Sus scrofa: one gene and its partners. The protein of the gene in region 1 interacts with the protein of each later gene in a biochemical or structural test. Links are inferred from orthologs where the notes say so. Each region holds a gene or a part of one and is shown in the gene's direction. Other genes may lie near its edges.

What was found.
Region 2: the proteins of TRIM24 (region 1) and RXRA form a complex in vitro, tested with the Homo sapiens proteins (3 studies listed by BioGRID). The link is inferred for Sus scrofa from reciprocal best matches to the Homo sapiens genes TRIM24 and RXRA.
Region 3: the proteins of TRIM24 (region 1) and RARA form a complex in vitro, tested with the Homo sapiens proteins (3 studies listed by BioGRID). The link is inferred for Sus scrofa from reciprocal best matches to the Homo sapiens genes TRIM24 and RARA.
Region 4: the proteins of TRIM24 (region 1) and PPARG interact in a test that uses a peptide from one of them, tested with the Homo sapiens proteins (2 studies listed by BioGRID). The link is inferred for Sus scrofa from reciprocal best matches to the Homo sapiens genes TRIM24 and PPARG.

Annotation. Positions count from the first base shown.
Region 1 is NC_010460.4:11,057,677-11,061,194, reverse strand, and holds part of TRIM24 (transcription intermediary factor 1-alpha), read left to right. Parts: intron 1-329; coding exon 330-404; intron 405-2,763; coding exon 2,764-2,913; intron 2,914-3,518. UniProt on the Homo sapiens protein: Transcriptional coactivator that interacts with numerous nuclear receptors and coactivators and modulates the transcription of target genes.
Region 2 is NC_010443.5:273,787,911-273,791,428, forward strand, and holds part of RXRA (retinoic acid receptor RXR-alpha), read left to right. Parts: intron 1-1,273; coding exon 1,274-1,406; intron 1,407-2,841; coding exon 2,842-2,933; intron 2,934-3,518. UniProt on the Homo sapiens protein: Receptor for retinoic acid that acts as a transcription factor.
Region 3 is NC_010454.4:22,054,752-22,058,269, reverse strand, and holds part of RARA (retinoic acid receptor alpha), read left to right. Parts: intron 1-854; coding exon 855-1,003; intron 1,004-2,380; coding exon 2,381-2,522; intron 2,523-3,518. UniProt on the Homo sapiens protein: Receptor for retinoic acid. Retinoic acid receptors bind as heterodimers to their target response elements in response to their ligands, all-trans or 9-cis retinoic acid, and regulate gene expression in various biological processes.
Region 4 is NC_010455.5:68,415,991-68,419,508, forward strand, and holds part of PPARG (peroxisome proliferator-activated receptor gamma), read left to right. Parts: coding exon 1-423; intron 424-3,518. UniProt on the Homo sapiens protein: Nuclear receptor that binds peroxisome proliferators such as hypolipidemic drugs and fatty acids.

The DNA of each region.
Region 1 (3,518 bases):
CTGCAGGCACAGCCCTAAAAAGCAAAAAAATAATAAATAAACAGAAAGACAAAAAAAGTGAAATTGATAATAATTCAAATAACAAGTTTAATTCCACTAAAATCACATAATGAAGTAGGATGTTATGAAAATTCACTAACCAAAGGAAAATAGGTATAAGGCCTCCATAAAAAAGGAGACGACACCACAGCTCCAAGTATCAGTATTTTTCTTACATTCATCTAGTTTTAATTTTTATTCAGGTATTTTGACCTGTAACAACAAAAATTTAGTTGTGACTTCATTATCTCATTGTATTTTCATTTTCTTTCTTTCTTTTTGTTGCTTAGAAGTGTGAACGTCTACTTCTGTTTCTTTACTGCCATGAAATGAGCCTGGCTTTTCAAGACCCAGTTCCTCTAACTGTAAGTATTAATGTCATTTTGTGCATTTTTGCACAGTGGGGTGATTTTTCTGAAATTTGATTTGAAAATCTAGTTTCTGTTTCAGTAGTAAGTTTCTTACATTAATCCAAACTGTAAAGCTTATTAATAGATACTGAATGCTTTGATCTTAAATACATTTTAATGTTAACAAAGTGGCTCAAAACTTCGTTTCTCATATAATCTTTCTTTTCATCTCATGTATTTTACCTGCTATTCTCTGGGATGCTTTCTATCGTTTCTGTCTCAGGAGTTTTACATACATGTCCTAAGCTGTTGGGAAAAAAAACTTTGTATTTCAGATAAAGATCCCCTGCCTCAAAGTTCTCTGTACACATTTGAGTTTATAGGTCCAAACTTCAAGCAATAAATAGACTTTTTTTTTTTTTTTTTTTTTGGTCTTTTTGCCTTTTCTTGGGCCGCTCCCGCGGCATATGGAGGTTCCCAGGCTAGGGGTCTAATCGGAGCTGTAGCCGCCAGCCTATGCCAGAGCCACAGCAATTCGGGATCCGAGCCGCATCTGCAGCCTGCATCACAGCTCACGGCAACGCCGGATCGTTAACCCACTGAGCAAGGCCAGGGATCGAACCCGCAACCTCATGGTTCCTAGTCGGATTCGTTAACCACTGTGCCACGATGGGAACTCCTAGACTTTTAACAGTAGAAGAAGAGAGGTGTATTTGTGTGTGTGTGTGTGTATGTGTTTACCATTGACTTCAAAAGGCTTCGTAGTTGAAGTTTGATGTGACTTTAATGCATAGTCTCATTATAATGGTGCTAGTAAGGGCCTGCTACTCAAAATGTGTTGTTCTATTCTCTGATGTCTGAAATTCCTTTTAAAAATTAATAGATGTACAGTTCAATAAATTTTAAAAATTTTATGCAAAATTAAAATTTCTTGAAAACAAGTTTTGAGAACTTGAGATAGGAAAAATCAATACAGTTAACTCTTAATTAGAACAGTGAGGAGGTTGGGGCACCAGCTCTGCATGATTAGAAAGCGGCATGTAACCTTGCATCCGGGCCTTTCCGTTTGCAGAATCAGCCCACCATGGATCAGGTAGTGCTATAGTGTGAGTTTAGTGAAAAAAAATCAATGCATACATGTGCCTGCAGAGTTCGAGGCTCCACTGTAAGTCGTTTTTAGGGGGAAGGGCCTGTTGTACTCAAAACAGGCAGGGCAAAAGTAGGTCAGTAAAACTTTATTCACTTAAAAATTTAACCTAAGGTTTGGCGCTCTTTATGGTGTTAGCTTACAGTTAACATTTGGTATTAATAACAGCAACAGCAAAGTAGCCCCCTTTTTTCTTAATATATATCATCTCAGTCTATACATCATCCTGTGGGACTGGTGGAATTAGTCCTATTTGAAATATGAAGGAACAGTTTCAGTGACATGAAGTAACTCATTAAGTCGTACCCTATTGAGTAGCAGAGCTGGGGTTCAGAAAGCTCACTTGCTGAACACTTGGAACAAGAACATGTCAAATCTTACTAGAAGTAATGCTTTTTCTAGTGATTGCTTTTTGTTTAATAATGATGAAGAATAATAAGAGGGAAATGCGGTAAGTTTTTTTCATTAGAAATAACTCATAGGAGTTCCCGTCGTGGCGCAGTGGATAACGAATCCGACTAGGAACCATGAGGTGCGGGTTCGGTCCCTGCCCTTGCTCAGTGGGTTAACGATTCGGCGTTGCTGTGAGCTGTGGTGTAGGTCGCAGACGCAGCTCGGATCCTTCATTGCTGTGGCTCTGGCTTAGGCTGGCGGCTACAGCTCCAATTAGACCCCTCGCCTGGGAATTTCCATATGCCACAGGAGCGGCCCAAGAAATGGCAAAAAGACAAAAAAAATAAATAAATAAAAAGGAATAACTAATAAAAAATTTGGGTGGGGTTTTCGGGGTTGTTGTTTTGGTTTTTTGTTTTGTTTTGTTTTCTTTTCTTTTTTCTTTTTGGTCTTTTTACAGCCACACCCATGACATAGGTAAGTTCCCAGGCCGGGGGTCAGAGCTGTAGCTGCCAGCGACAATCACACCACCACCAAATCCTTATCTCACTGAGTGAGGCTGCATCCTTGTGGATACTAGTTGGGTTCATTACCGCTGAGGCACCATGGGAACTCCTGGGGAGAATTTTTGATGAAAGCGACACAAAACATTTATCAGTGTGTGGAAGCCTGTAGGCATTTGTAAATTTTGTTGAATAGATTGCCTTGTCAATGACAAAATAGAACAGAGAAAAGCAGTGAGAAAAATAAGAATTTTATGCTACTTCTTATAGAATTTATTTAGGACCAGGTAGAATTTAGTTATTTATTACAGCATCTCATTTCTTTTGAAAGGTGCCTGATTATTATAAAATAATTAAAAACCCAATGGACTTGTCAACCATCAAGAAAAGACTACAGGAAGATTATTCCATGTATACAAAGCCTGAAGATTTTGTAGCTGATTTTAGATTGATCTTTCAAAACTGTGCCGAATTCAATGAGGTGAGAAGGAAGAATAATAATAGCAATGTGAGAGTAACACTAAACCAAATAGCTTATCAGCAACCAAGATCAAGATACTATCATTGGTAGCGTATTATTTCCAAAGTTCAAGTCTGTCAGGGAGTGAAAGAGGCAATTAGGAAGATTTTATCCGCATGTATATTCGAAGGTTTATTATGTGGTGAAGGGAAATGCGAATTACAGCTGACAGCTTGAAACCAGCTTAGAAAATATTGGTTCTAAACCAAAAGTATTCTTTGTCATTCTCATTATCACCTTTATTTCTTGAAATATGGCACTTTCAAACTTTAGTCTTTGTGATGTTGATATTGAAATGTGGAATAAGTTCTTAAGAATTTTCCCCAAAACTTTGTCATCAGTCAGTTTATCAGTCAGACTTACAGCCTTTTGCTGATTTTGGGGGGGGGGGTGAGGGGGTTGGTTCTGTGTTAGTCTCTCATTCCAGAGTTCCACATTTCATTTGATCTGTTCTTAAAAATACCTGTTACTTGATTCTGTGATGATGGTGTCTCTTTGATCTCTCTTTGGTAATCTCCGACTACCACCCCTCGTAGAATAATCCAGATGAGTCAAGGCCTTTTATT
Region 2 (3,518 bases), on another chromosome or scaffold:
CTGGAACACGGAGGGCGGGAGCATTCACTCTGGGCATGGGGTCAGGCCGGAGTCCGGACGAGGCTGTCGCCCTCTGAGCCGTTCCCTTATTTGGAAAGTGGGCACAGCAGACGTGCCGCGGGGAGGCCGGTTTCTGCTGTGAGGCACAGGTCCTGGGTGCAAGTTCCTGCTGGAGAGAGTGCAGGGACGGGCGAGTTGGGAGGGCCACCCGTCCCGCGGCCCCTCCCTGTGTCCTGGGCCCTGCGGGCTGCACCCAGCTCTGCAGCCGCCTCCAGACCCTTGTGCACCAGGCCTGAGCGGGGAGCCGCAGGGGTGTCAGGCCAGCCCAGCCCAGGGCCGGCCAGGCTCTGGGTGTTCTTGGGGCAGGGGGACAGGTGGCAGCTGGGTCAGAGGAGGCCGGGGCTGGGCAGGCCTGGAGGTGGGGAAGGTGGGAGGGAGAGACCCAGAGTGATGGCGGAGTGGCTGGGACAGATCCGGGTGGGGGGGGGGGGAGCTCGGGGGCTGGTGCTGCCCCTTGCAGAACCCTCCTCTCCCTGGGCCGCTTCCCCGGTGAAACGGGGCTGATGCCTGCCCTGTAGGACGACCCCGTGGTACCGGCTGGCTCTGCCTGGAACCTCTGGGCGCCCGGAGGGGGCGGGGCTGTGACCGTTGCTAGTCGTGTCCCGCGGGAGATGGTGAACGCTGTCCGGTGTACTGGTCCCTGAGACACTTGCGCACAGAATAGGTCTGTCCCCCTGCCTGGTCCTTGCCTCGCCTCTGGGCATGCTGGGCCCGAGAGCTGGAGAGCGGCGGCTTGGCCTTTGGCTCCAGATCGCCTTGTGTCAGCTCAGTGCTTGACCATTTGGTGGCATCCACCATGTGTCCGTCTCTGGGAGTTGGCCTTTGGGCCAGTGGGCGGCAGCTGGCGTGGGGCTGCCGGAGAGGGTCGAGGGAGCTCCCGCGAGCTCCTTGGCACAGCATCTTGGCCCTTGCAGAAGGCGGCTTCCCTGGCACCTGCGTTTGGGAGCCCCTGGGTTAAACTGGCTACAGGACATGTCATGTGCGGGACTTCTCAGGGCCCTTACTGTGCCAGTGTGCCCCAGAGAGGCCTTTCCCAGGCGTCTGTGCTCAGGAACTTCCTTTCTGTGGGACGTTTGCAGGCTCGAGGCTCCCCGGAGCCCATTCTGGGAACCCCGGCCTGGGTTCCCCAAGGAATGGGTCTGAGGTTTGCCTTTGGGGGCAGGGCGGCCTGGGGCCTGGAGACGTGGTGACCGTGTGCCCCCTCCTCCTGCAGGCTGGAACGAGCTGCTCATCGCCTCCTTCTCGCACCGCTCCATAGCCGTGAAGGACGGCATCCTCCTGGCCACCGGGCTGCACGTGCACCGCAACAGCGCCCACAGCGCGGGGGTGGGCGCCATCTTTGACAGGTGGGGGCCCGCCCAGGGCACGGCCCGCTTGGCATCTGTCCTGTTCTCGAAGGTTCTACGTGCGGAAAGGTCCCGGCGCTACCATAAGATTTCCTGGGGCTACCGACAACCACAGTCAGCATCTGGGTTCCCTTCCTTCCTGTCCTTCTGAAAATCCTGCTGCTGTTTTAAAGCAAAGACAGGTTACGCTGTCGCTAGACTTGCCTGGCGGCTGTCACGGTGGACACGTGGGGACTCTTTCGCGCGCTTATGCCTCAGAGCCCACGTGTGTCTGCTCGCTGCCCTGTCCCTGGGCACTAGCTGCCTCTGAGTGCTGCTCTTGGCATATCGCCATTGGGGCGGGGACAGGGGGCCAGTGCGGGTGGCTGGGCGGGCATGTCCGTTCTGGTGGCTCCCAAATCACGGCTCGATGGTGCTGCAGGCGAGGCAGATGGGAGCTGCCCGCTCCTGTGTCTGGCTGGCCTTGCCTATGAGCCCGGAGGACCTGGGTGTCAACTCAGCCAGCCGGAGCGGGAAGCGCTGGAAAGGGGGCGCAGCCCAGGTGTGGCACGTGGAAAGGAGCAGGCCAGGGAGGAGGAGGCAGGAGGGGTCCCAGGCGAGCCCTGAGAACAGGAGCTTTGAAGGGGGAGGGGAGCGAGGCCCCCCCCCCCAGTCACCCCGGGGATACCTGCGGGCACAGGGCTGCCCCGTGGGATGGAGCAGGTGGGACAAAGTGCAGCCCCAGACCGCCCTGCCTGCGCCATGCACCGTGGGCAGGCGCTGGTGTAGACAGACCCCGGGGTGTCTCTGCTACAGGCCGTCGCAGGGCCTTTCACAGCTCGGGTGCAGAAGTGCCACCCAAGGGGGCAGCGGGGGGCAGCATTTGTTCCCCATAGAAGCCACCCCAGAGGGCACGTCCCCAGGATGTTTAGAAATGCAGCCCCTGCCTCACACCAGCTGGCACTTCCATGGTTCCCAGCTGCTGGAGAGGTGACAGTGGTGGGGGTCTGGTCGGCGGCTGATGACAGGAGGGGAACAGAGCCGCCCTGCAGTGGGGAAGGGGCCGGGGACATGGACTCGAGGGCTGTGGTGCCCGGGCTCGGCCTGAGGCTGCGTGCCCGCCTGCAGCCCGGCGGGCCCCTGGGCCGGTGGACCCCTGGGCCGGCGGGCCCCTGGGCCGGTGGACCTTGCCCCCGACGTCCAGGGCTCTGGCTCACCCCGGCTGTCACGAGGTCCCACTTCAGCCCCCAGGTTCCCAGAAACAAATCCCACGCGCAGACCCTCTTGAGTGAGAGGAGAGGAGCCCACCGCCGGGGCGGAACCGGACAGGCGGTGGCTCCCGGGTTCGCCGTGACCGTCTCAGCCGCCCTCCGGGCCCAGACCGGGCTTCCCGGGCCTCCGGGGTTCCGGGGCGAGGGCGCGGTCTGACCCGAAGCCTGCCCCCGCTTCCCCGCAGGGTGCTGACGGAGCTGGTGTCCAAGATGAGGGACATGCAGATGGACAAGACGGAGCTCGGCTGCCTGCGCGCCATCGTCCTCTTCAACCCGGGTGCGCCTCCTCCCCGCCGCCACCCGCCCCCGGGCCAGCCCCGTCCTGCCTGCGCTGCCGCCTCGGCCAGCGGCCCCTCGCCTGGGCCCTGATGGGTTTCTCCCTTGTGATGGGGGCGCAGCCGTGCTGCCCTCTTCTCGAGGCCCGCGTGAGGGTCAGACTGGCTCGGTCAGCCGAGCTCATCCTCCGTGTCCGGGCGAGGCCTCCTGGAGCCCTGGGGGTCTGGGGCTGGGTGGGGACGTCGGGGGCAGGTTCCGGGCTGCCTCGGTGTTCTGGGGGCAGGGGCAGGGGGCTGACCAGGTGGCGAGGAGGAGGGGGCGGCCCCAGGGGTGGAGGGTCCCGACTCCCTGTTCTCCGTCAGCTCCAGCGCTGAGAGGCGGGGCCCGGGTGGCCATGGGGTCCCCTCGGGGGAGAGCCCGTTTCCCCAGGTTTGTGCTCCAGCCGTGACCCTGCCCTGCAGGGCGCTGCCCTGCAGAATCTGCATTGAAGCTTTGTGTGGCTTGGCTGCTGGTTCACCCGATGGGGCCTGGGTGTGGGTGTTCGCCCAAGACAGGAGTTAGCACAGCCCCAGGGCCGGGGGAGCCC
Region 3 (3,518 bases), on another chromosome or scaffold:
GGGGGCTGCCCCTGCTGGCTGGGTCACCCTCCTGGCCGCCCTCTTGGAGCTGCAGAACAGGAGGGGAGGGGGATAGTAACCCGGACATAGTATCGAGGCCAGACAGACAGCGCATTGATGGGAACAGACCCCCCTTTGTCATGCTTTTCCCCCCAGACGGGGCACCCAGAGCCATGGACTTCCGGGGCCCATAGGGACTCTTCTCCCTGTCTCCAGGGGGCCCCTTGCTCATCTCAAAGAGTCCCTGCCTGCCATGCCTCAACATTTGCGACTCTGCACACCCTGCCTTAGGTTCCCGGCCAGGGGATTGTTTGGGTGGAGGAGGGGCTGTGGCTGTTGGGGGGGGCGGAAGCGGGGGGTGGGGGAGTGGCCGGCTTTGAATATCCTGTTGACCCCAGTTTCCTCTGCCCCCAGCCTGTGTCCTCTTCCCTCCCTCCTCACCAGCCTTAACTCCTTCCTAACCTGGGGGACAGGGGGCCGGGCTGCCCAGGGGGTGGGGTTGGGGCTGTAGAACCAGGATGACACCTGTCCCCACCGATCAGGTGTAGCCACATCCACATACAAATCTGATGGCTGATTATCTCCTCTTTCTGGTTTCGAAGGTGGGGGGTCCTGGGGAAGCAGGCGGAACCGCCGGCGGGCTGGAGGCTTCCTTGGCGACCTCATTCCCCCAGCCTGGCCGGGAAGTCCCAGCTTTCCTGAGACCGCGTCTCCCCGCCCCAGAGTTGGACTCCTGGCGGCCGCGGTGGGGAGCCTGGCAGGGGCTCCTGGGAGAGAGCCCGAGGCGGGTGGGCGCTCCGGATTCAGGATGGTGACCTGGGTCTCTAACCGCCCTTGCCCTCTTCTCTCTCTAGCCATTGAGACCCAGAGCAGCAGTTCCGAAGAGATAGTGCCCAGCCCTCCCTCGCCGCCCCCCCTCCCCCGCATCTACAAGCCTTGCTTTGTCTGTCAAGACAAATCCTCAGGCTACCACTATGGGGTCAGCGCCTGTGAGGGCTGCAAGGTGAGTCGAGGGGGTCGTGGGGAAGGACAGTCCTGATCCAATAAATGAGATGTTCCCACTGCCATGTCCTGGGACTGTGACGTTGACGGGAGGCGGGTATCCCTGAAGCTGCCACTCTTGCTTGTGTGCGGAAGGTGGCAGCACCCTTGGAGGAGAGGAAGCCTTCAGCGGAACCTCCTTCCCCATGGCGGAGCAGGGGTCCCCCAAGCCAGAGGTTCCGCTCCTGCCTCAGCTCGCTTCCTCCATCCTCCATCCTCCGGCTGGCAGGGCGAACACCCGCCCTGCCACCGCTGCCCAGGTTGCCATGGTGAGCTGGCTGCCGACAGGCTCTTGGCTGGGGACCCAGGAGGCCTGCCTCCAGTGGCCCTGCCTGAACCTCGCCATGACAGCCTGGCAGGAGGCTGTTAGGAGCAGGCGCCTTGCCTTGGCGTCTCCTTCAGATGCCCAGGCTGTGGGCTCCCCAGTGCCTGGCTGGATGTCCCCGTGCACATGATAGGCTCCGGGGTGCAGACATGGCTGCCCCCTTCCCAGCCCCTGTGGGCATGGCCTCTCCTCTACCTGTCCCCAGGGCTTGAGCCTCTGTACCTGTTTCTTCCCCAGAGATCGCGGCTTTGAAGCTGCACAGCCCTGGGGCTTGGGGCCTGGGGCCCAGGGCTGCCCCTCAGTGTGGAGTGGCCAGCTCCGGGTGTGGGGGGGAGATCGAGGGCAAAGCACACAGCCTTGGACTATGTGTGTCCACCTGTCCTGTCTGGCTGGTTGTTCCTGGTCCGCCCTAGTCTGTCAGCCTCTGTTGGCCTGTGTGCCCCCACCCCCGCCTCCTGCCCCCACCAGCCTGGTCTGCCCTCGACCAGTGATCCTTCTGTGTGCATCTGCCTGGTTAACAAACGTGTCCTGCTGCCTTGCTTCTGAGTGCGAGAGTGTCCCCACCTCTCAGGGCCGCCTGCGTGTATCCCTCTGTGGTCCCTTCCTGCTTGCCTTCTCTTCTGTGCTGAGCCCAGGGCTCTGCTTTTGTCCCATCTAACCCCATCTGCCCCTTTTCCTGACTCGCCAACAGCCTGAGGTCTGTCTCCCCAGGAGGGAGGAACCTGGGTCTGTGGGTGGAGGTTGGGGGAAGCCTGCCCCCCCCGCCCCCGCCGCAGTGTTGAGGCAGCAGGTACTGGGATTCTTCAGGGAGTATCCTTGTAGGTGGACCCTTCTCCCCACCTTATCTGGCCTGCTCAGGTAGGTGATGGCCAAAGGCTTGGGGGCAGCAGCCCGCTGGCCCTCTGCCTTCAGACGGAGGCCGCAGGCCAGCGCTGACAGGGAGACCCCTCGTGTTTTGAATCGTGGGTGTGGCTCTGGGTGTGGCTGACCTGCCTCCCTGCCCTCCCTACCCAGGGCTTCTTCCGCCGAAGCATCCAGAAGAACATGGTGTACACGTGTCACCGGGACAAGAACTGCATCATCAACAAGGTGACCCGGAACCGCTGCCAGTACTGCCGGCTGCAGAAGTGCTTTGAAGTGGGCATGTCCAAGGAGTGTGAGTGCCTGGAGGGGGCCGGGCCCCTAAAGCCAGGGGAGCCGGGGGGGGCGTGTGGCTGTGTGTGTGTGTGTGTGTGTGTGTGTGTGTGTGTGTGCGTGTGTGTGGACCCGACCATGCATGGTATGCGGGCCCATGTTGAGGCCGGTTTGTGTATAGCTCCAAGGACCTGTCTGTCTGTCTGGCCCTCTGTGTGTCCATGTGTGGACAGCCCTTCCTGTTGGCCCCTGGCAGGCTGCATGAGCTTGCACACGGGTCTGCATGTGTCTGCTTCCAGGCCCTGGGTGGCTTTGGGGCGGAACCCAGAGGCCTCCGTGAGTCCCTTGGGATTGTGCATCTCAGGGCAGGGGTGCCGCTCAGTGGTGTGTGCAGGGGCTGTGCTGCAGGCACAGGGATCGGAGGGCCGTTGTCTGGTGAAGCCTGGGACCTGGAGTTGGATGAGAGAATTGGGGCTTCTCTGCTCCCAGAGGAACGGGGGTTTCCAGTTCGGGCTCAGCTGAGGCCTGATGGAGGGGGAGAGGGAGGGTTGGACAGGGAGACCCCTCTTGTTTTGAATCATGGGTGTTGCCGTGGTGACCGGTGATTGATGATGTCAGAGATAAATGACGCTGACAGACGCCTCCTTGTCTGCGTGGCCGTTGCCATGGAGCCTGAGCCTTGGGGGATGGGGTGGGGGAGGGGGCTGCAGGACCCTCTAGCCCTTTGTGGGCAGGGCAGTGGAGGAAGGAAGTGGGGAGGGGAGGTGGCGGCGGGCGGGGGGGCTGGACATGAGGTGCCCCAGACAGGAGCAGAGGGACCCTGCAGCACCCTGCCACCTCCTGCCACTGGAGGCAGGGGCGGTGTTGTCCGGAGCCCAGGAAAGTGGCTGCTCGGGCGGGCGCTGCAGAGCAGGTGACAACTTGGAACCTGCAGGCCTGGGACCATTCCCTGCAGGGCCCAGCACCTCCTCCTCCCTCTGCCACTGCCACCTTCCGCTCCCAGAGCTTTTCACTGCAG
Region 4 (3,518 bases), on another chromosome or scaffold:
TAATGATGGGAGAAGATAAAATCAAGTTCAAACACATCACCCCCCTGCAGGAGCAGAGCAAAGAGGTGGCCATTCGCATCTTTCAGGGGTGTCAGTTTCGCTCCGTGGAGGCCGTGCAGGAGATCACAGAGTATGCCAAGAACATCCCTGGGTTTGTAAACCTTGACCTGAATGACCAAGTAACTCTCCTAAAGTATGGCGTCCACGAGATCATTTACACCATGCTGGCCTCCTTGATGAATAAAGACGGGGTCCTCATCTCCGAGGGCCAAGGATTCATGACAAGGGAGTTTCTCAAGAGCCTGAGAAAGCCCTTTGGTGACTTTATGGAGCCCAAGTTCGAGTTTGCTGTGAAGTTCAACGCACTGGAATTAGATGACAGCGACCTGGCGATATTTATAGCTGTCATTATTCTCAGTGGAGGTGAGCTGCTTCTTTGCCTCTTCCATGAAGAGAGTAAGGTGGTGGGGGGCTGGCTAAAAGAATTCTGACCTTCTTTCATGTTAGGCTGCATTCCTTTTCTCTCTGTGTTTACTGCCCTCTTCATATGGAAAATGCTAATGACCTAATCCCATGGGAGTGTCACTACACGTGTGACACACTGAGAAGGAATGTCATGGTCTTGCCGTAACTCCAGCTCTTTTCTTTTATCTTTCCGAACATTTATTCTAGTCCAGTCCAAACGTGGAAGACAGATGCCCTCTTCTCCTTTTTCTTTCTTTTATTCTGGTCTTTTTGCTCTCCTTTCTAGAAGGCCAATCCAATCTTCATTTAAGTGGTGACATACAACTTTGTAAGATGACCCCCACTTGGCCTAGAGAAGGCACGGCTCTGTGTTTGTGGTCAGATTCTGCTCCGGTCCCACCCCACCGTAACGGGTTGTTACTTTGAATTGGTTTCCTGGTATCAGGAATCAAGAAATAACATATCTGCTGACCTCCACCTCCTGTCCCGCATGGAGTCCTCTGATGGCTTCCCTTAAAGTGCCTTTGTGAGGTCGTTGGTGTGATTCAGAGTGTAGGCTGAAGCAATGAACATCCAGCAGGGAAATAAATAGAGTTATTTAGCCATTCATTGTACTTTTGACCTTGCAAGTACATGATCTAACTAACCAACTCTGCAGGCCAGGTTTTATACTAAATGCTACTTTCATTGGCCTCTCACATGTTTCCAGCTTGAGTAGGAGAAAGTTTTACTGTCATCTGTCTATATAAAAATTGTTTTCCAGTGACCGGTTTTCATTACTGTAATGGATGGACTTCAGGTGAGCTTTTTGTGTGCACTCTGCAGAAACCCTCTGTGCATGAAAGCTGATGGTGGGTGGGGGGCAGTGGTCCTAGAGATGTGAGCTGTGTGCCCCTAGGCAGCCTGTTACAAAGATCATGGTCCACTGTGTAGCCCTTTGTTGTCCAGTGACTTGAGAGCAGAATGCTTCCTGAAATCAGGTGCACAGGGTATTAGTCATGATAATAGTGGCAGACACTTAAGTACTTACTGTACACCAGGAAGTATTCTAACCACTGTTTGCACATTCATATAAGTCTCACAACCCCAATGAGATAAATACCGTTTTGCAAGCAAGGAAAGCAAAGCACTGAAAGGTTCAGCCACTTGCCCATGGTTACCCGGCCGGCGAAAGATGGAGCCAGGATGACAGACTGAGCAGTCTGACTCCTGGGTCTGTGCTCATACCACCTGTTACACAACTAGGGTGCAAACAGATAACCACATGGCGCAGGTTAACGCTGAAGCCACAAGCCCTCTTTTGTGTTGTTTGATGTAACAAAAATATACCATCCAACATGTTTTGACATCTTGACATAATGTACTTCTTAAACAAATTAACCCTTGATGCTCTGAGATCTGTGACTAGTTCAGCAAAGAATGATATTCCATTTTATTTGAGGTCCATTGGGAGAAAAATATTAAATTTTGGAAAACTAGATTAGAAGACAAATTGGAACTAACTAGCTAATATTTTGAGGCAATTTAATTTTTAATGAAAAATGGAAATATAATTATTAACGTTTGATATATTTCTAAGACTTTTTCCTAATCATACTACATATACTATGTTTATATTCCTTTTTCATTTAACCATTTTCCCATGTCATTAATACTCTATTAATATTTTATTAATTTTTTAAAATAGGAGTAATACATGGTCATTTTATAATTCAAAGAGTACAGAAAGGTGTAAGTGAAAAGTAAAGCTCTCTGTCCTCAGAATAAAATAGGATTGTAGTTTCCGTTGTGGCTCAGTGGGTTTTGAACCCAGCTAGTATCCATGAGGATGTAGCTTTGATCCCTGGCCTCACTCAGTGGGTTAAGAATCCAGTGTTGCCATGAGCTGTGGTTTAGATCACAGATGTGGCTCAGATCTGGTGTTGCTGTGGCTGTGGTGTAGGCGGTAGCTGCAGCTCTCATTTAACCTCTAGCCTGGGAACTTTTGTACGTGCAGTTCTAAAAAACCAAAAAAAGAAAAAGAAAAAGAATAAAATAGGATTAACAAAGTCCTATTTCTCCTACCAAAAACTTCTGTGTGTGTGCTAGCATATGGATATATAGATATATAGTACCATTTTTAATGACTGTAAAGTAATTCCTTTTTATAACAAGCCGTTACATACTCAATTATCTCCCAATTTGTGTTTAAGTTGCGTATAATTTGTTATAAAAACCTATAGAGAAGAGTATAAAAGATGATGGAAAATGTGTTCTAAATTTCACTGCAGTGATTCTTCTTAGGTGTAATATTTCTGTTAACATTTCAGATTATTTTCTCAAACTTTGAATTACTGGTAGTGGAATTGCTGGGTAAATAGCTATGAGCATTTTTAAGACTTTTGCTTCATTATTACCAGATTGTTTCTCCATAAAGTTTGTACTAATTTATATTCCTACCCCAGATACTGAAGGAGGCATTTGAAATAAGCAATTCAAAGAGGCTTACTTTCAGGAGTTTCCTGACAGCCTAACCGTTTACAACTCAGCATTGTCATTGCTGTGGCTCTGGTTACTGCTGTGGTGCAGTTTCAATCCCTGGCCCAGGAACTTTGAGTCCCATGGGCACAGTCAAAAAAAAGAAAAAATGGCGTAACTCAGAGATACCGTGAGTTTGTTTCCAGGCTACCACAGTAAAACAAATATTGCAATAAAAAAAAAAAAATGCTTAGTTTTTATCTAGGAAAGGCCTAGACAAGAAACAGTCTTGATAGTACAGGGTTTTTGGAGCTGAGCAATGCTGTTTTATGGACACATAAGACAACAGTGTGATTTCATCTAGAAAAATGCCATTTACTGCCCATAAGCTAGATTATTTAAAAATCAGTGAGGCCTTCAGTTAGGCCTTTAAAATTTTTATTAATTGGTCAAAAATAGTCCTGTGACAAAGTTGATTCAATTTAGTAGATGTTGCAAGGTTTAGGCTTTCAATTATGAAAATTAAAAATGATATCTGGGGAGTTCCTGACATGGCTCAGCGGTAACAAACCTGACTAGTATCCATGAGGATGTGG